3 linked regions of the Lepisosteus oculatus genome follow. The protein of the gene in region 3 purifies or fractionates together with the protein of the main gene of each other region. This does not show direct contact. Links are inferred from orthologs where the notes say so. Each region holds a gene or a part of one and is shown on either strand. Other genes may lie near its edges.

Region 1 (7,507 bases), on a different chromosome or scaffold from region 3:
ACAATGCATGCATTTTATCATATTACAATGAAAGTCTAATGTGTGTTTGTTTTAGTGTTTTTATTGGCAGTAGCCATTATGATGCACTTTACATAAATATGTTAAATGCAGGTCAGTATTTGTTTGCTTATCCCTTTGTGGCCTATGGCCCATTGAACTCACCCAATTATCACTTGATATGCTTTGAGTTTTCATCTCTTCCTGGGGAGCTCTGACTTCAGTGTTTTCTTCAGCTTTTCAAATGCGCATTCAGTTGGATTTCAATGTGTCGCATGCACATTTTTTTCCAGGACATCAAATCCCTGTATTGGAATCAAGAGTCAATTATGTGAGTCTTATTTAGGTGTTTACTAAGACGTCAACAGCATGTCTCAGAGGGAGTCATTTATTAGGTATTATTAGCATAGAACAGGCAGGAGTATTTTGGATACAAGACGATGATTTCATGAATCTTAAAAGCAAGGCTCAATGGTATCTTACCGTTGGTGCAACCCTTAGAGCAGTCGCTCAAGACGGAGAATATTCAAGGATGAGAATATCTAATGTAGTGCCTGTCCTCAGGAGGGGCCAAAACTGAACCAAGTCAAGGCAGTCATAGTGGTGTACAGTACAGTGTCCTTTGTTACATGAAAGGTTAGAGAAACAATTATCAAAACTAAGCTAGATTCTCAGCTATTTTAAATACTCCTGGGTCACTGTGCTTCATACATTATTATATTTTTACACTGTTTGATAATTTCATGTATTTTTCAATGCCCTGCCTTGTGTCTGTTGTTTGCCCTAAGGCATGACCCTGAATTGGAAGAAATGGTTAGAATATAGATGGATGGAATTTTGGTGCTATTGGATGGATGTTACATAAGCCGAGATAAACCTAGATTACTACCTTCTTGAAATAATGATGTAGAACCATGTTACATGGAATCTGAAGTTTAAGCTTATTAAGTTTGTGGCTTAAAAGAAAGAGCATAAAAAAAGATAAACATTCAAAATGCTGATTGCTGGGAAGATGCTAGCACATCTAATCAAGCTTCTGTAATGTAACATTAATGGTAATGGTGCTCATGGATAATGATGAAACCAGTTATAGCGCCAATGTACATAAAACTTTAGAAAGAATTATACAACCTATATGAATTTGAGAGTGGAAGAGGAAAGTCCTTGATATCAGTGCGTGGCATCCTGCAAGCCAAATCTTCAGCAACATCTAGAAACAAGATGCACTTGGCACATAATGATTAGGTTAATTGAGGCTCACAGTATTGACTGGCAATGCTGTGTTAGAGTTTGTATGGACAGTGCCAGAGTTAAGTTAGGACAACACAGCAGTGTGGTAGTTCGTATATACAAAGTTGTTCCCAAAATAAAAAGGACTCGCTGGTGCACCCATCGAGCGGCCTTGGCAGGCTGTGTTAGACAGTGCAGTGAAAGTGGTGTGTCTCTTTAAAGCAAGGCCTGTGAATTTGCTAATTCTAAGTGTCCTCTTCAGTGAAATGGGTAGTAGCAGTACACGGCTCCTGCTGCACTTGGAAGCAAAGGGGCTCACACCGTTATTTAAATTGCCTTTGGAAGTTCAGGTGTTTCTGCAAGAGCATCAGATCTCAATTTCAAAATGCTTTGTGCTTTGAGAATCCTGTCTGGCTATCACAACTGGCATAGGTGAAGAATCTAGGGCTACTGGGACCCTGTTTGAGTTTTAGATGTGGGTGTCAAGATTAATGCCATAGTGGGGGAAAAAGCAGCAATTGATTGAAATAAAAATGCAGACAGGCACTGTTTCTGCTCTCTCTACGGTGTTACCTTCCAGGTTTTTACTGTAAATGAGACGTTGATCTCACTTGACTTATCTGGGTTAATAAAGGTTTATTTATGCTAAAACATTTATAAATCTAAAGGTCTATTCACCAGCAACCTTCCCGCCACATTGCTTTACTAAAGGAGTCGACAATGGCTTTGTTTAGAAATGCCAGAAAAAATCATTTAAAGTCAGTAATGTGCTTACATTGCATGTCTAATGCAGCTTCTGCTACTGAATTGTTTTATTAATTTCTTTGAAGTCTGGTTCATAACTTGTGCAGGCTTTGTTAGTCTTGAGAGGAGATAGTTTTGAATGGAGGTTACCTGTTCACACACACAGGGGCCAGGCATCATTTACAGACTAAAACCAACATTGCACATTGTGTTACATGTATACGAAAGTTCCAAGTTCATATAATCCGTCCAGTCAGTCCATTTGTGCAGGTTTGCCTGTTCTGAGAATTGACAAGCAAAGCTTTCCAAGCTTGAATTAAGGAAGGGAACTTTTCATCCCGTTTCCAGCTTCTTAGCATCTGCAACTACTAGCTCTAAATCTCTAGAGGAAATGTCCAGAATGACATTCAAGCCCAGTGCTTCCACTGGGTCTACATGGGAGGTGAATCATGACCTTGAACAATGAGCTTTCTGTACAAGCCTACATAATGTGACTTGAATGACAGTAGATCAGGTGTAAGACACACTAGCTTTGTAAACTAGGCTTGTTGCAGGGATACTGTACTAAGCAAGAATCTTGACATAGTCGCAGTGTCTCAAAGTGAATGAGTCTGCCAGTATAGAAGTCTTCTGAAGTACACTTTCAATTTGTATTCAAATACAAAAGCTGCTTGGTGCAGACAGGATGATGTTTCCTTGACTTTGAAGTTTATCAGTCAGTGGGGCTGAAATGACCTAAATGTACACAAAATAACCTGAGAAGTCAATCATAGTCTGAGTTCAGGAGGCACCTTTCGTTTCTTGAACTGTTTAATGCAAACGCCAAAGCAAGCTAAAACATCACCTCAGGACCGCCAGCTTTCATTGCTGTTCATCAAAAGTCCTGGATACTCACAACCCTTCTACTGTTTGTCAATATCAATATGATCAGCTATTTATATCATGAACATTCTGCAGGTAAAGACCATATCTGCTACAAGTTTTTGTCTTCTTGGGAGAATTTGCCAAATAGCTCTTAGCTATGTTAAGCATACATATCTTCACCTATTCACCATCTGTAAAAGGCTAAAAGGTGACCACACCAGTACTTTGACCCACTTTTGTAAAAAAAAATATTTACAATGAGAGCAGGCTATTTGCCACAGCTAGTTCAGTTATTTATTTCTGAGAAATCTTTTTTTTTAAACGCTAAAGTTATTTTTTTTGTTTGCAGTCCCTTCTGACTGAAAAGAATGCTAACTCATCGTTTTATTTAATTTTGCCATTTTAAGTAGCTTTACACTCGGCCCGATTCAAGATTGGAGGATGATATTGAAAAATAAATACAACTGTTTATACACAGCTAAAGATTTCAGATGACAAATTACCTAAAAAATTACTTGTCCCATTGAAACACAGATTTAGGAATAAAATCAATAAGAATACCAGAAAATGGGTGGATATAAAATAACATCACTATTTCTGTTATTTGTTAGTCTATGTTTTACGTAACTTTAAATGTTTGGGAATTTGTGATAACTTTGTTACTTATGAGAGCTACTGTATATCTAGTTTGTAGAACAGTCACATATAGGTCACAATCCATAGGATACTGATCTTGTTTTACTACATTATCAGAATAGCTTCTTTGAGTTCATTAATGGAAACACTAATCCTTAGAAATTCTTTCGTTGCAATTAACATCTGTGTTACTGAAAATCTACTGCCACATTCCTTATTACTGCTCTATTTCATAATGGCACATGCATGGATCCCTTTGAAATCTCTTGGAACTGTAATTTTTATATTTGTAAAAGGCCTTAATAAGATGTTTATTAATTGTTTTTTTGTGCTTTTGGTTTGAAGCCTAGTGGAATCCTCGGGTATATCTCTGTAGAGAGTTAGGCTGAATTATTTCCAACACCATTAAGGGATTACTGTTAGTCATATTTTCTGGACTCTTTGTTGGTGAAAACTAGTCCATTACTCTTCTTCACACAGTGACACTAGACTCTATGAGGCTGGAGACTCCTTCATTTAGGAGACTCAGATTAATGTGCATCATCTTCCTGGCAGTTGTTTACAAACCAGTGCTACAGACGTTCTCTTTTAGTATTCTTATCCACTGGAAAGGAGGTATATTTCTTATCTGCCTATATTTCTATATTGTAATCATAAAGGATTTGAGCCATATGACATGTCACTTTCAGCAGCTGGTATCAGTTGGGGGCTACTGCTGCAGCCTTACAGTAATTAAAGGCAGAATCTTTGAAACATTTGTTGTTTTGCTGCAGTAGGAGAAGTAACGTGATGTATTTCAAAGCAGAGCTGCACAGAGAGTTTTCCCCTCTGCTTCTCCTGCCTCCCAGAGTGCAGCTTTAATCACCTGCAGTCTCTGGAAATGCAGATCATGGCTAGCTGCTCATAGGCTAAGCTGGGAGGAGCCTACTCTGATGCAGCAGAGGCCTATGACAGCAGTAGCAGTGGCAGGCAGCAGCAGCAGTACTCACACTCGCTTCTCTCTCTCGCTCTTTCTCCTCTCACGCGCGCGCATGCACACACACGCACACCGTTTCACACTGCACCAGCAAGCCTGCAAGCAAACAAGCAGCCACACTCATTACCCTCTCCTTCCAGCACAAATCCTTTGAGATCCTGCTGCAGCAAGCACGAGGAGCCAGCTCTGCATGGGGGCTTGTTTAAGGAGTACCTGACTAAAAGGACTAGCGTGTTTCTTCAAACCACAGGAGTGCTGCTGCAGCTCTATAGAGTTGGGGGGGGGAAGCCACAGAAGGGACCATCTCCTGTTTTCTTCTTCTATTTTTTTCTTGCCAGTTTGCTGTACCAGCTAAGCTTTTTATGCCTTCTGTGTGAGTGGGTGTGAGGGGTGCGGGGGTTGTGTGTGTGTGTGTATGTGTGTTGTCCCCCAATTTTTCTCTTCCTCTCCTTCAAACATCTCAGCTGCACCACAAGTCTGTGCCGCATCTCGTCTTTTGGCTCTCATTATGCTATCCTCTGAACCCCTGGCAGTTCTCCGCCTCTGCTAGGCAGTGGCAGCATGGATGGTGCTCTTGTGAGGAAGCCTACGGATTCGATTAGTCCACTGCGGATGGGCATGCTGAGTAATCCTGCTGTAAATGGGCGAGGACATTGACACCCGAAAAATCAACCACAGCTTTCTCCGAGACCACAACTATGTGACTGAAGGTAGTGTTGCATGTGTTTTCTAATGCTCGCTTAAATGAGAAGCTGCTTGCTAGCTGAGATTATTATATACTAATGTATGCGTTTAGGTTATTTTAAACTTTGAAATCAGATGTTTCCTATAAGGATTTTTTTGCTTGTTCTTAGCAATGGGTAGCAGCCGTATTCTAGTTTATTCTGCACATTACTTAGAAACCTGACCTGCATCTCCCTAACGTCTAATTAGCTGTACAGATAAGAGGTCTTCACCAGCAGTAAATATCTGACGAACTTTTCAGAGGAACAGAGAATCCATCCTTTTTGCCTGTAGTGACATTGCTGATCCAGTGCACCAGAAGAATAAACGATTTGTATAAAGGTGTGCGAATTCATCAGGTGGACTCCTTGTTGGAGATGATTATTCATTTATTTTTAGCTCAGCTGCTCCTCTAATTAGAATGATCGAAAATCACAGATGCACTTGATGAAGGGTGTATCTCAGTTGATTACTAATAATGAAAACCAGAGAAAAATGATTTGTTCAATCACCTACAAATAATATTTATGGAAAGCATAAAATCTCTCTGACAGTGCAAGATTCTCTGTTGCTGTGGCCTCCACTATTTTCTACTGTAGGGTACAATTATAATTTTAAATGGACATTCTTAGATCCTGTAGATGCTGAATGCTGTGTGAATGATTTATAACAGAATGAGTTGTGCTATCAGTGGCAATTCAGCTAGCATATTTCACTGTATTTACTCATGGGGATCTCTTTTGGCACACAGGTGTATTGCTTAGTTTTTATATTTTTATCATGCGTACCATTTTTGTAGTTAGTCGTGACGTGTAGGATTAGCAACCCCAAGGCTGTGTTTTTAGTTGGTTTTATGACTTATGTCACCCTTAGTATAAGAGTGTACAATTATCTGTTTGATTCTGTAAGCTGTTAGATGATGAAGGTTGAACGCTGGCAGGAAAATGTATGTACTGTAGAAGCAGTTTTTCCTTTTTTCAGATGCAGTGTAATAGCTTTTGCTACAAATGCTGCAGATTAAGGGCCTTAGATCTTGTGATTTCAGTGGCAGCCAGCAGGTTCCGTTTATTCCACTTTAATGAACACATAACGGCTAACAGGGAGTCTAAATCTGGTAAATGGTGCTAGATGCAATAATTGGTGATCTTAATTTAAAATAACAAGCCAAGAAAAAGCAAGACCAAAACATTTAAATGTTTGTGGGAGGGAGTTTAACATTGGAATGCCTGCCAAGGGTTTTATCTCGGAGAAAAATGATGTAGTGAGTCAGCAAAAAACGGGAATTCTGCAAACTGTTCTCTCCAGTTGGTGCATGAACAAGGTGAGGCTTCATTTACAGTCTCAGAGAGTCGAGCATGACTGTTAACCAGGCTAAATGTATTCAGAAAAATGTGGCCAGCCAGGAAATTGGAGTTTAAGGAAAGAAAAACATATGCTATGTTGTAGACTCATAATCTATATAATGTAGTATATGTGAAGTACAGAAACATGCTACCACATATATGATTTCTAATGTAGCTTACAGGAGTCAGCCCCATGAGAACATTTATAATTACGTTTTTGACCCCAGCTTGTCATGTAATATTGGATACCCAGCCTGAAAGTGACCTTTTGTTTGCAAGTATTGACTGAACTATAATTTCTGAAATGGATTCTTAAATTATGTTTTGGGTCTGCCTTTTTTTAGGCTAAAAAAGATCCTATTCGGTTCATTTTAGTACAATGTAAACCATATAATTGAGCAATTTCTCACATTTATTTGTTGATTTATTAAAGTGTTGCTCATGCACTGATTACACTGGAATTCATAACAGTTTTCAAGCTCCTAGAACTTTAAGCAGGCCTTAATTTTAATCTCAAACCATGAAAATAGACCTTTTGAATCAATGTGGGGAAAATACTGTTACATTGCTTTTCTCCCCAAGTGCTAAATATTTAATGTTAATGCAGGTACCGTATGTTTACGAATTTGTCGATGGCAGTACCATTTAAGAATCTAAGCAAAACAGTGTGAGGAATCTTTACAGGTATTAGTTATATGGGAGTCCTGAAGCAAGATTAAATATGGGCTTCAAGACTTTTTTTTCCATTTTTTTAGTAGTGCTTGTTGAATTGGTAAAAGTATATGTAGAAGTTAATTCTACAATAAAGACATGTAAAGAAAAAGTTTCAACTGTGGGGATTTTGTTAGGGGTGTGGGAGGAAGTAAGGAAGCAGGATTAGGAAGCAAAGAGTTTGGCGTGTTTGGTAAGGATAATAAAGGAAGGAGGCTCTGAGGGAGGGCACGTCAGGCGAAGTGTCCAGACAAACGGAATGCTGGGAGATGGATTCCAGGAG
Region 2 (7,768 bases), on a different chromosome or scaffold from region 3:
TTAAAATATAAACGTCAACTGCTATTTTTGTGCATGTGTAGAGTTTATTTTAGGTTTCCCAATTAAAGAGATTTTTATCCCTCTGTTTCTTTCTTAAGTTCAGTATCATCTCCTTTATTAAAATTTATCAGAGAAAAAAAAATGATCAGAGTTCATTTGGCTGGATGTCTCATCCTCAGAAATGCAGAGTACAAGCATTACAGAACACACGCAAAAAAATGACAGAATCACTCACTGAACGCCTGCCAGTCCAAGTACAGAATCGCTCACTGAACCCCTGCCAGTCCGAGTACAGAGTTGCTCACTGAACCCCTGCCAGTCCAAGTAAAGAATCGCTCGCTGAACCCGTCAACCTGAGGACAGAAGCACTCACTGAACTCCTGAAAATCTGAGGACAGAATCATATACTGAACCCGTCAGTTTGAGAACAGACTCGCTCAATGAACATGCAATTCTGTCCTCAGACTGATGGGGGTTCAGTGTGCGATTCTGTCCTCAGACTGATGGGGGTTCAGTGTGCGATTCTGTCCTCAGACTGATGGGGGTTCGGTGTGCGATTCTGTGCTCAGACTGATGGGGGTTCAGTGTGCGATTCTGTCCTCAGACTGATGGGGGTTCGGTGTGCGATTCTGTCCGCAGACTGATGGGGGTTCGGTGTGCGATTCTGTCCTCAGACTGATGGGGGTTCGGTGTGCGATTCTGTCCTCAGACTGATGGGGGTTCAGTCTGTGATTCTGTCCGCAGACTGATGGGGGTTCGGTGTGCGATTCTGTCCGCAGACTGATGGGAGTTCGGTGTGCGATTCTGTCCTCAGATTGACAGGTTCGGTGTGCGATTCTGTCCTCAGACTGGAGGAGGTTCGGTGTGCGATTCTGTCCTCAGACTGATGGGGGTTCGGTGTGCAATTCTGTCCTCAGACTGACAGGTTCGGTGTGCGATTCTGTCCTCAGACTGATGGGGGTTCAGTGTGCGATTCTGTCCTCAGACTGATGGGGGTTCAGTGTGCGATTCTGTCCGCAGACTGATGGGGGTTCGGTGTGCGATTCTGTCCTCAGACTGATGGGGGTTCGGTGTGCGATTCTGTCCTCAGACTGATGGGGGTTCAGTCTGTGATTCTGTCCGCAGACTGATGGGGGTTCGGTGTGCGATTCTGTCCGCAGACTGATGGGAGTTCGGTGTGCGATTCTGTCCTCAGATTGACAGGTTCGGTGTGCGATTCTGTCCTCAGACTGGAGGAGGTTCGGTGTGCGATTCTGTCCTCAGACTGATGGGGGTTCGGTGTGCAATTCTGTCCTCAGACTGACAGGTTCGGTGTGCGATTCTGTCCTCAGACTGATGGGGGTTCAGTGTGCGATTCTGTCCTCAGACTGATGGGGGTTCAGTGTGCGATTCTGTCCGCAGACTGATGGGGGTTCGGTGTGCGATTCTGTCCTCAAACTGATGGGGGTTCGGTGTGCGATTCTGTCCGCAGACTGATGGGGGTTCCGTGTGCGATTCTGTCCTCAGACTGATGGGGGTTCGGTGTGCGATTCTGTCCGCAGACTGATGGGGGTTCGGTGTGCGATTCTGTCCTCAGACTGATGGGGGTTCAGTCTGTGATTCTGTCCTCAGACTGATGGGGGTTCGGTGTGCGATTCTGTCCTCAGACTGATGGGGGTTCGGTGTGCGATTCTGTCCTCAGACTGATGGGGGTTTGGTGTGCGATTCTGTCCTCAGACTGATGGGGGTTCGGTGTGCGATTCTGTCCTCAGACTGATGGGGGTTCGGTGTGCGATTCTGTCCACAGACTGATGGGAGTTCGGTGTGCGATTCTGTCCTCAGATTGACAGGTTCGGTGTGCGATTCTGTCCTCAGACTGGAGGAGGTTCGGTGTGCGATTCTGTCCTCAGACTGATGGGGGTTCGGTGTGCAATTCTGTCCTCAGACTGACAGGTTCGGTGTGCGATTCTGTCCTCAGACTGATGGGGGTTCGGTGTGCGATTCTGTCCGCAGACTGATGGGGGTTCGGTGTGCGATTCTGTCCTCAGACTGATGGGGGTTCGGTGTGCGATTCTGTCCTCAGACTGATATGGGTTCCATGTGCGATTCTGTCCTCAGACTGACAGGTTTGGTGTGCGATTCTGTCCTCAGACTGATGGGGGTTCGGTGTGCGATTCTGTCCTCAGACTGATGGGGGTTTGGTGTGCGATTCTGTCCTCAGACTGATGGGGGTTCGGTGTGCGATTCTGTCCTCAGACTGATGGGGGTTCGGTGTGCGATTCTGTCCACAGACTGATGGGAGTTCGGTGTGCGATTCTGTCCTCAGATTGACAGGTTCGGTGTGCGATTCTGTCCTCAGACTGGAGGAGGTTCGGTGTGCGATTCTGTCCTCAGACTGATGGGGGTTCGGTGTGCAATTCTGTCCTCAGACTGACAGGTTCGGTGTGCGATTCTGTCCTCAGACTGATGGGGGTTCAGTGTGCGATTCTGTCCTCAGACTGATGGGGGTTCGGTGTGCGATTCTGTCCGCAGACTGATGGGGGTTCGGTGTGCGATTCTGTCCTCAGACTGATGGGGGTTCGGTGTGCGATTCTGTCCGCAGACTGATGGGGGTTCGGTGTGCGATTCTGTCCTCAGACTGATGGGGGTTCGGTGTGCGATTCTGTCCTCAGACTGATGGGGGTTCCGTGTGCGATTCTGTCCTCAGACTGACAGGTTTGGTGTGCGATTCTGTCCTAAGACTGATGGGGGTTCGGTGTGCGATTCTGTCCTCAGACTGATGGGGGTTTGGTGTGCGATTCTGTCCTCAGACTGATGGGGGTTCAGTATGTGATTCTGTCCCCAGACTGACAGGTTCGGTGTACGATTCTGTCCTCTGATAGGGGTTCGGTGTGCAATTCTGTCCTCAGATTGATGGGGGTTCAGTGTGCGATTCTATCCTCAGACTGATGGGGGTTCAGCGTGCGATTCTGTCCTCAGACTGATGGGGGTTCAGTGTGCGATTCTGTCCTCAGACTGACAGGTTCAGTGTAAGATTCTGTCCTCAGACTGATGGGGGTTCGGTGTGCGATTCTGTCCTCAGACTGATGGGGGATCAGTGTGTGATTCTGTCCTCAGACTGATGGGGGTTCGGTGTGCGATTCTGTCCTCAGACTGATGGGGGTTCGGTCTGTGATTCTGTCCTCAGACTGATGGGGGTTCGGTGTGTGATTCTGTCTGCAGACTGATGGGGGTTCGGTGTGCGATTCTGTCCTCAGACTGATGGGGGTTCAGTCTGTGATTCTGTCCTCAGACTGATGGGGGTTCGGTTTGCGATTCTGTCCTCAGACTGACAGGTTTGGTGTGCGATTCTGAGACTGCCGGCCTGGGAATAAAACCAGCAGGCAAACATGAACAAGTAGACACAAGAGGAAAAACCACAGAGTGGAATTTAAAACTGAGAACAGCAGGAGGCCCTTCTCTACACAAAGAGTCGTGGGAGTCTGGAACAATTTATCCCACCCTCTTGTCAAATTTGATCATCCCAGCTCCTTAAAAGGAGCGACTGGATGAGATCCTTCGATCAACTAGCTACTAGCAACCCAACAAGCTAAATGGGCTGCATGGCCTGCTCTCATTCGTAACCTTTTTTCTGTTGTTAATAAAATGAAATCAATATTGAGCGGGCCCTCCTTCCCTGCTTGTGGCTGCTAATGTACCACGTGCTTCTCTGAGTGCTCCTGCAGCAGCTACTCCTGAGGGAGACACTGTGCCTTCCTGAATCATCCTCATAGCCTGTGGAAAACAGACACGACTGTAATTTCACATAGCACGTCATTTTTACAGGCCTGCTTACTTGTTGTTGTTCTGACTTGTCGTTCTTGTTTGCTTCATTAATGTTAACACCGGATGAATTAATTGAACAAAAGAATAAGCCTTTCTGTTGGTTGATATTTCACACTCTACATACAGGGATACAGCCTCAGCTTTTTACTGAAGCTTTTCTTCAGAACAGATCAGAAAAACTGTGGGAGACGGCTTTTAGGGTTTTTTTAGTTGTAAAAAAGATCTATTTACCTGTAATGGACAAATCTGTTTTTTTGACACATTGATTTTCATAATTTTAACACAACTATCTTGTGAACATTTGTTTTTCTTTTAAATGACGCTTCTATGTTGTGCCATATTTTTCAGTTAATTTTATTGCATTTTGTAGCATTTTTCATCCCCCTAGAATCCCAAATCGAAATTGTGTTCACGAACAGAGGACTTCCAGAAGAAGTCCGGGGACCACATAGGGATCCCCGAAACAAAGGGAGCCCCTCTAATCCCCAATCCTGTACAGTGCTGTTGTGTAAAACTAACGTCCGCAGTAGATCTGCCCTGACGACGATGACGGAGGTTCTGCTGGCCTCTGTGTTTCTTTCCAATTACAAATCGGTTTGTCACACAGTAATTACAGTTCTCGACGGAACCGCCTGTGAAAGTCCGGGACCGGTGTCGCAGTGACGGGAAGGCGCCACATTCCCAACCGACACAGCTCGGGCTCCTTCAACTGCCGGAGCCCCGCTCGCGGACTCCACGCTCTTCGCTTCAGAGCTACGCGCACACTCGCGCGGGGACTCCAATCTCCAAGTTTCTGTGGTTGCCAGGGAGCGGTTGCTATGGCTGCGAGCTGGTGCAAGAAGGGAGGGGAGAGCGAGTGAGCGAGCGAGCGCAGGAGAGAGAGAGAGGGTGGTGGACTGGGTTAGTTTCCCGGATGGAGATCCATCGCCATCTTTAGTCCAGTGCTGCCGGTGGAGTGGGGACGCGCTGCTGCTGCTGCTCCGCCAGGAACCGCCGATCGACTCACGCAGACTCGCCCGCCGCCGAGCCGCTTCTCCACAGCCAGTGCAGACACCGCCACGCCGGCTCCGAGCAGACATGGGAGACCGAGAGGACTTGGTGTACCAGGCCAAACTGGCCGAGCAGGCTGAGAGATACGACGGTAAGAGGGAGGGGAACCAGGGCGGTGTTATTTTTGGGGAAGAAATCTGTATTTTTCTCCTTCGCTGCCGAGCGCCTTCCTCGCCCTCCCTCTGGCGGAGGGGGGCTGGGGGAGAGGACAGGCGGCTGAAGATGGAGTCCGGCAGAGAGACAAAATGGCGACGGTTTCACGGGGGGCAGACGGGCTGTGCGGCGGGGAGGGAGAGCGGCGCCGGGCACACGCCCCACGGACACCCGCGGAGACACGGGTGACCGCGGGCGCCCGGCAGGGGACAGCGAGACCGTGCGGGTCCGGAGCTCTCGGCGGGGGGGAGGGGGATCGCGTCCGCTGTGTTGCAGCGAGGAATTGCATCCAATTTTTGCGAGTTTGCAAAATGGCGGCTAACAATAGTAGATAAATTAGCGGAGGGGGGCGAGTGCGGGGCGGCGGGTCCGGCGGGACTCGGGCGGGAGCCGGGGCGGGGAGACGGGGTTTTGGGCCGGGAGGCGCGGCCGGGCGCAGTCCGGGGCTTTTTTCCTCCGGGGGAGCGGCGTCGCTCGGGCGGCGGGGAGGGGGGAGGGTGTCCGGCGTGCAGTGGGGTCCGGCTGGCTTTGTCCCCGCTGGGGCCGGGCCGGGGGCGAGGCTCGGCGAGGGCAGCCGGACCGCTCCGCTCCCCGGGGGGCAGGGAGAGGGGTGGGGACACGGACCGGACCCCGTCTTCTCGGGGCTGTGGCGGCGGCCGGGGTGCTTCAAAATGGCGGCTGCAGTGAAATGGGATTTGGTCTGACACCGAGGTTTCCGAATGGAGGTGGTTTTGAATTTTGATCTTTTCAAAGAGATCGTCTTCATTTCTGTCTGGTCTTGCGCTCTCGCGTTCGTCTGCGCGTCCGGCGTGACACACGCCCAGCAGAAACGGGAGCAGACCGAGTTAGATTAAATGTTTTATAAATCCTCTCTGATATCAGAGCAGAGCTCCGCGTGTTTTGAAGTGAATGTGACCCAGACCCGTCTTATTTGATCATATTTAGTCAACCGTTTGGTTGTGTGTGGCGGGGAATCCTGCGTTAAGTAATGGCGACCCTGGATCTTCCCCTCGGCGGCGCGGCAGCTGTGGAGCACCGTGCCCTGCGTGGGGCGCCGAGGTGCCGACTGGGGTTTAGCCCGGAGCTCGGCTGTGGGTGTGGTAGGGGCAGGGGTCCACGCCGCGCTGGGCTCTTGCGCAGCCGGCTGCAGGACGGATCCCTCCGGCTGCACGGCAACATCGTCCTGCGGTTTTCACGTCCTGGGCTGGGATCGGGCTCTTTCGGAAGGGGGTTGTCCGTACTGTGTGATTTTAAACCGGAGGGAGCGGGGGGCTTAAGATGGCGGTGGTTCGCTCAACGTCGTAATTGGCTGGAAGCTGACAATAAACAGAAGAGACGCGGTGCTTGATTAATGCCCCTCCGTATCCAAAGCTGTGAGCCGTCGTGCACGGAGCCACAGGTGACCGAGAGCTGCCGAGAAGCCCGTCGGCGATATTACGGCATGTCTGCTGCATGCTGGAGTGGTGAATGGCGAAGGCTCCTCCCTGCTGTCCGCCCGCAGTTCATTCATTACAGCAGCCGCCGGCCGCAGGCGCTTTTCCTGCCTGCATCGTCGCCCACAGCGGCGCTCATGTGCCCAGTCCTGATTTTAGCTGGTTCTGGTCGTCACCCCTCTTAGGCAAACCACAACCATCATGCTGCGGTTCTTTTCTCTGTCTGTCCTCTTTGGTGCAATACTAGCATACACAAATAAACTTCGGGATCCAGTTGAAAGCTGGATGCTTTGGGGCTGCTGTGTGATCATTCGAATTCCGCTTCTGTGTGTACATGGGCAAATCTGCCCCTGTGATGACCTTACCTAAATTAACTGAGAACTGACAAGGGTTTGAAACACCCCATCTCTTCCTCTCGGTGAGCTGTGGGCTGGAGTGACAAACACGTGCGTTGGTGCAGACCTAGGTGTACAGTTACAGTTGTGCGCCTTACATCAGATCCTGTGAGGGTTTGAGCCACATGCTGCTGCTGCCCCCTGCCATTCAAACTAGGCCAGTGCTGCTGTCTGCGTTATGGAGGGCATCCACAGAGAATGAGGTCACTGTTTGAAAAGGCCATTTAAATGGGTCCACGTTTGTGGGCGGTGTAATGAAGCATGTCAGAATGGTGTGGCTTCTTTTTCCTAACTGGATAAACTGCAGGTTCTTGCAGCTCTCCTCACCTGTAAATGGGGACTTTCAGATGCAAGTGTGGAATTCCATTTCTGTAGTGCTTTTCTTCCCTGAGTATCCCAGAACACTCTGCATTTAGGGCAGGACCCTCTTCATCCATCAGTGAAGAGCAGCCCTACCTGGATGACGCACTGCTCAGGCGAGCAGGAGGGAGGAGTGAGAAACTGCTGCACCAGTTAAACTAAGGGGGGCCTTAGGGGAGGGGGGGACAGACTCTGTAAATCCAGAATGGAATTAAACTGGGTTAAAACCTCATGTGGTCTTCAATGAGCAAGTATCAGGACTTCCATTTAACACCCAGAGGACTGCAGCACTCTCTCCTAATCACCACAGTGGGCCATTGGGATGTTGGTTTGGAATTGTCTTGTAGAAAGAAGAGCACCCCCTACTGGTCCACCATAACCAGGTTTTCTGTCTGCCATACCAGTACTGACCTGGCCCAGCCTTGCTTAGCTTCTGAGGTGTGGCAAGACCACATGGTGCTAATGCTGCTGTCATTGTAACCTGTAGTGTACTTCTATTGTGTGTCCCTAAGATAATGTGAATTGTGTATGGCTTTGAATATGGAACATACGATTTTTTCACCTTGCAGTTGT
Region 3 (7,517 bases):
GTTCGCGTGCTTCACAAATTAAGGTTTAACGCAATAAAATAATTTGATCTCATTCCTCGAATAGCCTTTGCATCCTTACAGTGTCTATAGCTGCGCATTAAGCTCTCCACTGGAGGTTATTTATTGGGTTATCAAGAACAAACCCCGCCATTTCAACGCCGGCGGCTTCTCGGCCGTTGTAACGTCGCGGTTGTGACGCAGCGGAGGCGCTACAGGCTGTGGACACTTGTGGGATGAAACACTTCAATCGCGCCAGGTGTCGCGTCAAAAACATATCTCACCGGTTTTTTGCCTGGAACAAAAACAAATCACACCCACATCTCTACCTTTTATCTCAGACGTTAAACCAAGTTTGTGCTCCAGGGAGCCCGGAGGAGCATCCTGACACGGGCGACTGAGCATAATCTTAATCCCGCAAACCTGAAAAAGTCAACAACCTCCGGCTCCACAGGACAGACACTTAACAATCACAGCTCGGCACCGAGCAGGAAAGTCGTCCGTCTCTGGGCAAATTCACGCACCCAACACGGTCATATTTGCCTTCGCCACTCCGGGGGGTTGGGGACCGTCTTTTGGTGAAAGTGTAAGAACGCGTACAAAAAAGGCGATCGCCGCTTGCTCTGGAAAACTCCACACACAAAAAAACCCACCCCGAAACATACAGAAAGCGATGTCTCTTAATTAAAAGCTTACTCCGGTCCTACAGTACATTGCTATCCGGGGACCTTTAACCCCGGCCCTGGGGAACGCTAATGAGCCACGCCGCCAAGAAAGAGCTTCGCCTGGGGGTTGTTAGTGCAGCCAGCAGCACAGGGCACGGAAATTCATTAGCCTAAAGAAGACAGCAATTAATAATCAGATTTGCAGTTGCCCGCTGACACGTGTAACAAGAGTAGTCTTGACATTTGACGTACAACATATAATATTCCTTCAAATTCAGCCATTAATTGCTAATAGTTTACACGAGCTGCATGTTCTGAACAAAAAAGGTTGATAGTCTATTATAGTTATCCGAACTGTAAAAAAAAAAACACTAAGAAGCAATTAAATATCACGCTAATTCGTTTTTATGAATTAAACAGGACTGGACTGAACAGAACTGCTTCTGCTCCTGCTGTATTCAGTATCCCCACTACTGTCTCCTCTCACTGTGTATTCTCATTGTGCATATCTTGTGTATTGTGTCGTCGTCGTTCTGCAAAGGCGCTTTGAGAAGCCACCTGTAAAGGCGCTATATAAATACAGTTCTTTATTATTCCTGGTGTCACGACGGAGTTCTTATTAGGGCGGGTTTGTTATTACCACTGCAGTGATACAATCGGGTTTCAGTGTATTTACTGTATTTTTATCTTCTTTCACGGGAAACTTCAAACACGACCAGTTGTTTCACAGGTGACGACAAACTGTGCGGGGGGCCGGGCAGGCAACCCGGAGCAGCAAAAACAGAACAACAACGATCATTATAACAAGACGAGGAGCGTGAGAAATCACGATACACGTCTTTCAGTGCGACTGTCGGCCGTCTGCGCGCTCTTAGAGGTCTGTTCGGCTTCTCCGGAACACAAACACAAACTTCCAGGGAGACGGAAAACGCGCTTTCTGCCGCCAGTGCCGCTTTATAAGAGGACACCTGCGGCCGGAGCGCTTGTGTGCAGCCGCCCCTGGCACCGCTACTTCCCGCGACACCCCGACAGGAGCCGGGCTGCCCCTGTCAGACTCCCGCCGCCGCCAGCACAGGCGTTGGGGGGACAGAAAATGTGCTTTCTCCCCCTGATATCATTCATGAGCATTATGTAACTCCGTGCTCAGAGTGACCATGCCCCCAAAACCGCGGCTGTTTACATCGCCCTGTCACATTGCATAAGCCGGCGGACCGAGCGCAGCCCTTTTTTTTTCATCTTTGCGAGTTGTCGTGCAAAACCCAGTTACGAATATCCGAGAGTGACCTGCTCCCAGTGCTGAGTCTCCTAGTCTGAAATTAAACTTCACGGTGTGTGTTATTATCATCATCAATGTCTCATTATTTTCACGGCGCTGTGTCGTGACAGTCAAGGGGTGTTGTGTGCAAATGTTCACCAGCCGTGCAACTTCTGCACGGCTGTGCCGCCGACTCTAGAGCCCGGACCGGGGGCTTGCAGCCGCAGGGCAGCTGGCCTCACCCTGCCCTGAACTAACTCCGGGACACTTCCACAGCTTCGGGGCGCCCCGGCTCCGGCAGTCCTCCCCCCAGCTCCACTTTAAAAACTGCAGCCCGTATTCCCCGGCTTGGCGGCGGGCTCGGGGTGTGAATGGGTTTCTGAGCACGCCAGTGTACGAGCTGACCCGGTCCGAGAGTTCGCCCCGCACAGCTCCGGCTCCGGCTCCGGCTCCGGCTCAGTTCACGACGCTGCAGCCGAGCGCCGCCCGCGCGCCTGGGTCAGACCCCGCGCCCGGGCCGTGACAGCCGAACCCGAGCGGACCCGAGCCGAGCCGCGGTCCATTGCACAGTACTTGCCTCGGTCTTGGTGATGCGGTGTCTCGCCAGCTTCACCACCGCGAAATTCCCTTTGCCTAAAGTGCGCTCGATATCGTAGAAGCCCACCCGGACCGGACCGCGGTGCGTCGGTTTCTGGTGAGTATCCGCCATGACCATGCTGTTCCGAAGGGGTGAAGAGGGTCGAGGGTCGGGGGGGGAGGGAGAGGGGGAGAGAGAAAAGCGGGGTACCGCACGGCTTGAGCCACAAGGAAGAAGACGAAGAAGCAGGAAAAAAAAACCCAGCCGGGCGCTAGGAACTGTCTATTAAAAAGAGGCGCAGTAAAATCCCCGCTTCCCGAGCCAGCTTGAAGGTTGACAGCGTCCTCAGTCCAGCCGAAGGGAGACAGGACATTTACCGGTGGGACAGGAATCTGTCACGCCGCCCTTTCCAATACAAAAGGGCTATAATGTTTCAGCCCTGTTGGGCAGACTGCACGGGCTGACTTCGAGCAGAAGGCATCGTGTTCCCTGGTTGACGTCCATTGACGTCAGAGCCGCTGGGGGTATTTGTACAGGGGGCGGGCCTTTGAAGCCGTTCCACACTCCGGTGCCAATTCGTCTCCAAGACGACCAGATCCACCTCTGACGTCAACCGCCGGCGAGTGCTATTCTAAAAGCTGTCAATCTGCGCGCTCGGCCGGCGCGCTCGCCGCGGGTCTGCAGATGGGAGCTGTGATAATACCTTTTGTTGAGCGGCTCGGAGCTTTTTTTGTTTTGTTTTGTTTTTGGAGGGGAGGGCTTTAAAATGTGCATTTCAAAGCTGTTAACATACTGTTGACCTTGTGCCTCTGTGTTAGGTAGACGATCTTAAGCGTGTCCGCCGAGCACTCCCGCTCTTTTGAAGTGCCGTCTGGCTGCAACCTGTCTTGGTCGCAAACGCTGTAGCTACAACCTGTTGTGTTATAATGGCAGTTTATCGTGGTGAAGTTTATTATACGGTGTTGTTTTTATTTTATTTTGCCACGTTCGTACTGTGCTCCGCACTGAAGCACGCAGAAGAAAATGTTCCCTGCACCCCGCGCTTCGCCCCAGGTTTCTGCTGCATTCTTCAATTATTCAGGCCGCTGTAATGAGTATTTCCGAGTTACCTGCGATCCTAAGCCTACACGAAAAGCACCAACCAAAACAATGTAACAAGAAACGTGCACGCGTATCTATGCCTGTCTCCCCCAACACAGAACGCAATTTTAATTCGCTCTGAATAGCACCCTGGACCCGCAAGCAGACTCGAACATTATTGTTGCGTGTAGAGTCTGACTGTCAACCCGCTGAGCTGCAGCCTCTGTCGACACAGCCAGGGCCGCCGCGGGGTCTTCTCTTCCGCGATCCCGCACTCGGCTTCGGCGGGGGAGCGCTGCCCCCTGCCGGCGGCCGGCGGGTACTGCAGGCAGAGCGCACGCAGTGGGGGGGCGAGATGTGGGGAATCGGCCTCGGGCACAGAGTGACTTCCCCCAGACGCCTTATTGTGTATTGTTCCGCAGCCACATGGACAAGTTACTGAGCTCAGTTACGTAAGAATGCAGTTCAGGGAAGAAACTAGAACACAGGGTCAGTTCCTAGTATTTATCACCTCTGATGTAGAAATACTAGCTGTTAACATCCATCCATTTTCTGACCTCTTCTTCCAGTTCAGCCGGGAAGCTGGAGCCTATCCCAGCCAGAGACAGGCACAAGGCAGAGTACAATCTGGAGGGGACATCAGACCATCGCAGGGCACACAGGCACAGACACGCACTCACACCCGGGCCGGTTTTCCCAGAAGCAACTGAAACTACCAGCATGGACTGTGGGAGGAAAGCACAGCATGAGCACTGGGGAAACATGCGAACTCCACACAGACAGCCCCCCGGGTCTGGAATTGAACCCAGGGCCCCAGCGCCGTGAGGCAGTGGGCAGAGGCAGTGGCACTGGGCCACTGGGCCTCCCTAGCTGTTAACGTTTGTGCAAATTAAATATTCATTTAATCAAGCCTATTGAAAAGCACTGGACCATAATAGTTGTTAATGCCCCCCCAATTTGCAACAGAACTGACTGACATTCTTGCCTGTCAAAGTTCCCCTGGTGATGCCTCTCCACTAACACACCCAATCAGTTCTTTTGAATCCCTTCTGCTCTGCTGTGAGCAGAAGAACACAAGAACAGCTACAAATGAAAGTAGCCAACCGGCCCCGTTAGGCCACCTGGTAGTTAGTAGTTACAGTAAATGATCCCAGGACCTCATTCAGTCATTTCCTGAAACAAACCAGAGTACTGGTCTCAACAGCAGGACAGGACAGCTTGTTCCAGACTCCCACGATCCTTTGCGTAAGGAAAGAAGTGCCTCCTGGTATTGTTTTTAAGTGCATTTCCCCATAATTCCCACCTATGTGTTCTTTTTTTGCCCAAGTTTCCAAGAAGCAGCATTTGGATTCAGATTTAAATCATTCTGTGGAATGAATAGATAAGAGCTTCAACTCCGTTCAGAGAACAGGGGAAAGGAGCCCGAGTGTCAGAGGTATCAATGTGGAGCATCTAATCCGATGACCCAGAATGTCTGTGAGCGAATGTCTGTGAGAAAAGTACCTCCTCAGAGGGCCTCCACCCACCCTGTTGGCCCCCTGAAGAGATGTGCATCGTCACCTGACTGATCTGGGGGGAGGGGGGGGGGGGGCGACGACGTCCCCTGCCTGGTCCGTCAGCTGCGACACACCGCCCCCTGCAGGCCGGCGTCCACTCACGGCCCTGCAAAACACCAGAGGCGCACGCGGCTCACTCACATACACAAGCACCAGGCAACTGGGTTGTTCTCATTGTTTATTTCAGTTCCGTGTACATGATTGGATACAGCAAACACATTCCAGTTTTCCGACTTCCAGAGTGCAGGGCGCGCGGTCGGGCACCGGCGGACTGTTGGGAGCGTCAGGCCGGAGTTGGGAGTGGGCTTGCGCAAGGGGTCCGCACGCGCGGGTCTTTAGACCTTCTGGTGCAAACCCAGGCAGGCGCGGCTGCCAGCACTGTATCATCGGGGGTTCCTGGCACGGTTTCTCCGTGTTCTGCAGACGGAAGCAGCTGAGTATTTGTCGAAGGAGCCATGGGTGTGTTTGGTTCCCTCTGGGGCAGTATTCCAGTCCGGATAGAGCAGTCGGGGAGATACAATTGCCGGTCAGGAGCAGTTCTCTTCTCCATCAGCTGGCGACTGCGTCTGGATCTGGCGGGTCTGTTGATAAAAAAAGGCCGGAAGAGCTGAACAGCTCCCGGCGCCTGCGGAGGTGGGGGTGGCAGAGGTTGTTGGGGCTGTTGAGGCCGACACTCTGGGCGATGACCCGGAGACTTCTCCAGGTCTTGCATCTGCAGCAGGATAGCCGATAACGGAGCCAGCAGGGAGTTCTGCGCAGCGACAGCTGCCCCGTATACGCGAGAGCAAGATCAGATTGGTTTTGGGGGGCGGCGGGATGGCGGGGGGGGGACCGGGGCGGGGCCTAGTAGCCGTAGATCTCGTTCTCCACCCAGCCGGACTCCCGGTTCGGCCGCCCGCGGCCCTGGCACGTCTCGTAGATGTCGTTGGTGACGAAGCCGCTCTCGGTGCTGGCCAGCGTGGCGAAGCCGCTCTCCGAGGTGTTGCCGGCCATGTTGTCGTAGTCGCTGGAGAGCTGGTCGTCGGGCGCGCCGCCGGCCGGGGAGGAGCCCCTGAACGAGGTGATCTTGATGTCCGGCCGCGTGCCCGCCAGGTCGGCCTCGTGCTGCTTGCGGATGACGTGGTACACGTCCAGGCTGGGGCTGCTGGCGCGGTCCGGCGACATCCACAGGGTGGGCTCCTTGTGACACGCCTCCGTGCGCTCCTTCCTCCTGCGCGGCAAGCAGACAGGCGCCGGGGTCAGCGGGCGGGGTCGCGCGGGTCGCCAAGCTGCGTGGACCTCAAGGGCGGAGGGCGGGACTGGCGCAAGGAGGGCGGAGGGCCTCTTACCTGCTGGCGAAGAGCCGGAAGCAGAAGACGCCGGTGGCCACCAGCAGGAGCAGCAGGAGGGGGATGGTGGGGATGACGATGTACACGATGTTGAGGATGTTGTCTGCGAGGGAAGCATCGGAAGGAGCTTAATCTTTCCGGTCTTTTACAGAAGGAAAACAGAAGGGGCTGGATGCCGGGACTCAGGAATATAAAAGGCATGGACCAAGTCAATCTACAGCTTCAGGATCAACAAGGACCCGGGGACACCAGGGGGGAAATTACAATTTTTCAGTCCAGGCCAGGTCGGTGGAGACCTGCAGGCCGAGGGCAGGATGTGGGCGTTATCCGTAAAGCTCACTTGGCACCAACTGTTTTTCAAAAGCACCCCTTCCTTGCAACGGGACGCCCCCTTACCTTTTGACTTGGTCATCAGCACGTCGACCTTCTCCTCCCTGTCCGTGACCGGAGGGTACTTTGGCCTTGGAGACGTAGCTGCAGCTTCTGCAAGACGAGCGTTTCAGAAGAACAAGAAGGTAAGGGTTTGGAAACACACGGCAGCCAGTGGGTGGCCTCCTTTCTCTCCAGATAGCCGTTTGTTAGCAGTAGGAAATAAAAGGAGTTTGATAACAGACCCTTCTGTTCCTGTAGTGAACACTCCTATCCCCTTCCCGTCCCATTCCCATCTCCCCCACAGTTCACAGTGGAAGTGGTGAGACTGGGAGGGGCATGCCCGCCCGCCCTGCAGGAGGCACTGTTCCCCACAGGGATAAGACTGGAGCAACAGCAACCAGGGGCTCTGCAACTGGGTCATTTTAAAATACCCCGGATATGATGAGCTGAACCAACTTCCCCAGAATATAATAATAACTCCTCACACTTATATAGTGCTTTTCTGGAGACTCCACTCAGAGCTCTTTACAGGTCATGGGGATCCCCTCCACCCCCACCAGTGTGTACCCCCACCTGGATGATGCTCCAGTCCTCTCCCCACACACCAGCTCTCAGTGGGGAGGAGAGCAGAGTGATGAGGCCAGTTCAGAGACGGGGGTTATTAGGAGGCCATGACTGGGAAAGGCC

What was found.
Region 1: the proteins of sik2a (region 3) and serine/threonine-protein phosphatase 2A 55 kDa regulatory subunit B beta isoform purify together in Homo sapiens (affinity purification with mass spectrometry; 3 studies listed by BioGRID and IntAct, counting the BioPlex papers as one, with this or other methods). This does not show direct contact. The link is inferred for Lepisosteus oculatus from reciprocal best matches to the Homo sapiens genes SIK2 and PPP2R2C.
Region 2: the proteins of sik2a (region 3) and ywhae1 purify together in Homo sapiens (affinity purification with mass spectrometry; 3 studies listed by BioGRID and IntAct, with this or other methods). This does not show direct contact. The link is inferred for Lepisosteus oculatus from reciprocal best matches to the Homo sapiens genes SIK2 and YWHAE.

What each region holds. Positions count from the first base shown.
Region 1 is NC_090696.1:42,685,130-42,692,636, forward strand, and holds the start of serine/threonine-protein phosphatase 2A 55 kDa regulatory subunit B beta isoform, read left to right. Parts: upstream 1-4,416; 5' UTR 4,417-5,087; coding exon of another isoform or gene 5,088-5,157; intron 5,158-7,507. UniProt on the Homo sapiens protein: The B regulatory subunit might modulate substrate selectivity and catalytic activity, and might also direct the localization of the catalytic enzyme to a particular subcellular compartment.
Region 2 is NC_090721.1:11,108,984-11,116,751, forward strand, and holds the start of ywhae1 (tyrosine 3-monooxygenase/tryptophan 5-monooxygenase activation protein, epsilon polypeptide 1), read left to right. Parts: upstream 1-4,686; 5' UTR 4,687-4,881; coding exon 4,882-4,945; intron 4,946-5,662; exon of another isoform or gene 5,663-5,695; coding exon of another isoform or gene 5,696-5,732; intron 5,733-7,768. UniProt on the Homo sapiens protein: Adapter protein implicated in the regulation of a large spectrum of both general and specialized signaling pathways. Binds to a large number of partners, usually by recognition of a phosphoserine or phosphothreonine motif.
Region 3 is NC_090718.1:15,495,887-15,503,403, forward strand, and holds the start of sik2a (serine/threonine-protein kinase SIK2), read right to left. Parts: upstream 3,003-7,517; 5' UTR 2,633-3,002; coding exon 2,495-2,632; intron 443-2,494; exon of another isoform or gene 1-442. Other genes in the region: layna (layilin), read right to left, coding at 5,974-6,340, 6,459-6,561, 6,855-6,941. UniProt on the Homo sapiens protein: Serine/threonine-protein kinase that plays a role in many biological processes such as fatty acid oxidation, autophagy, immune response or glucose metabolism.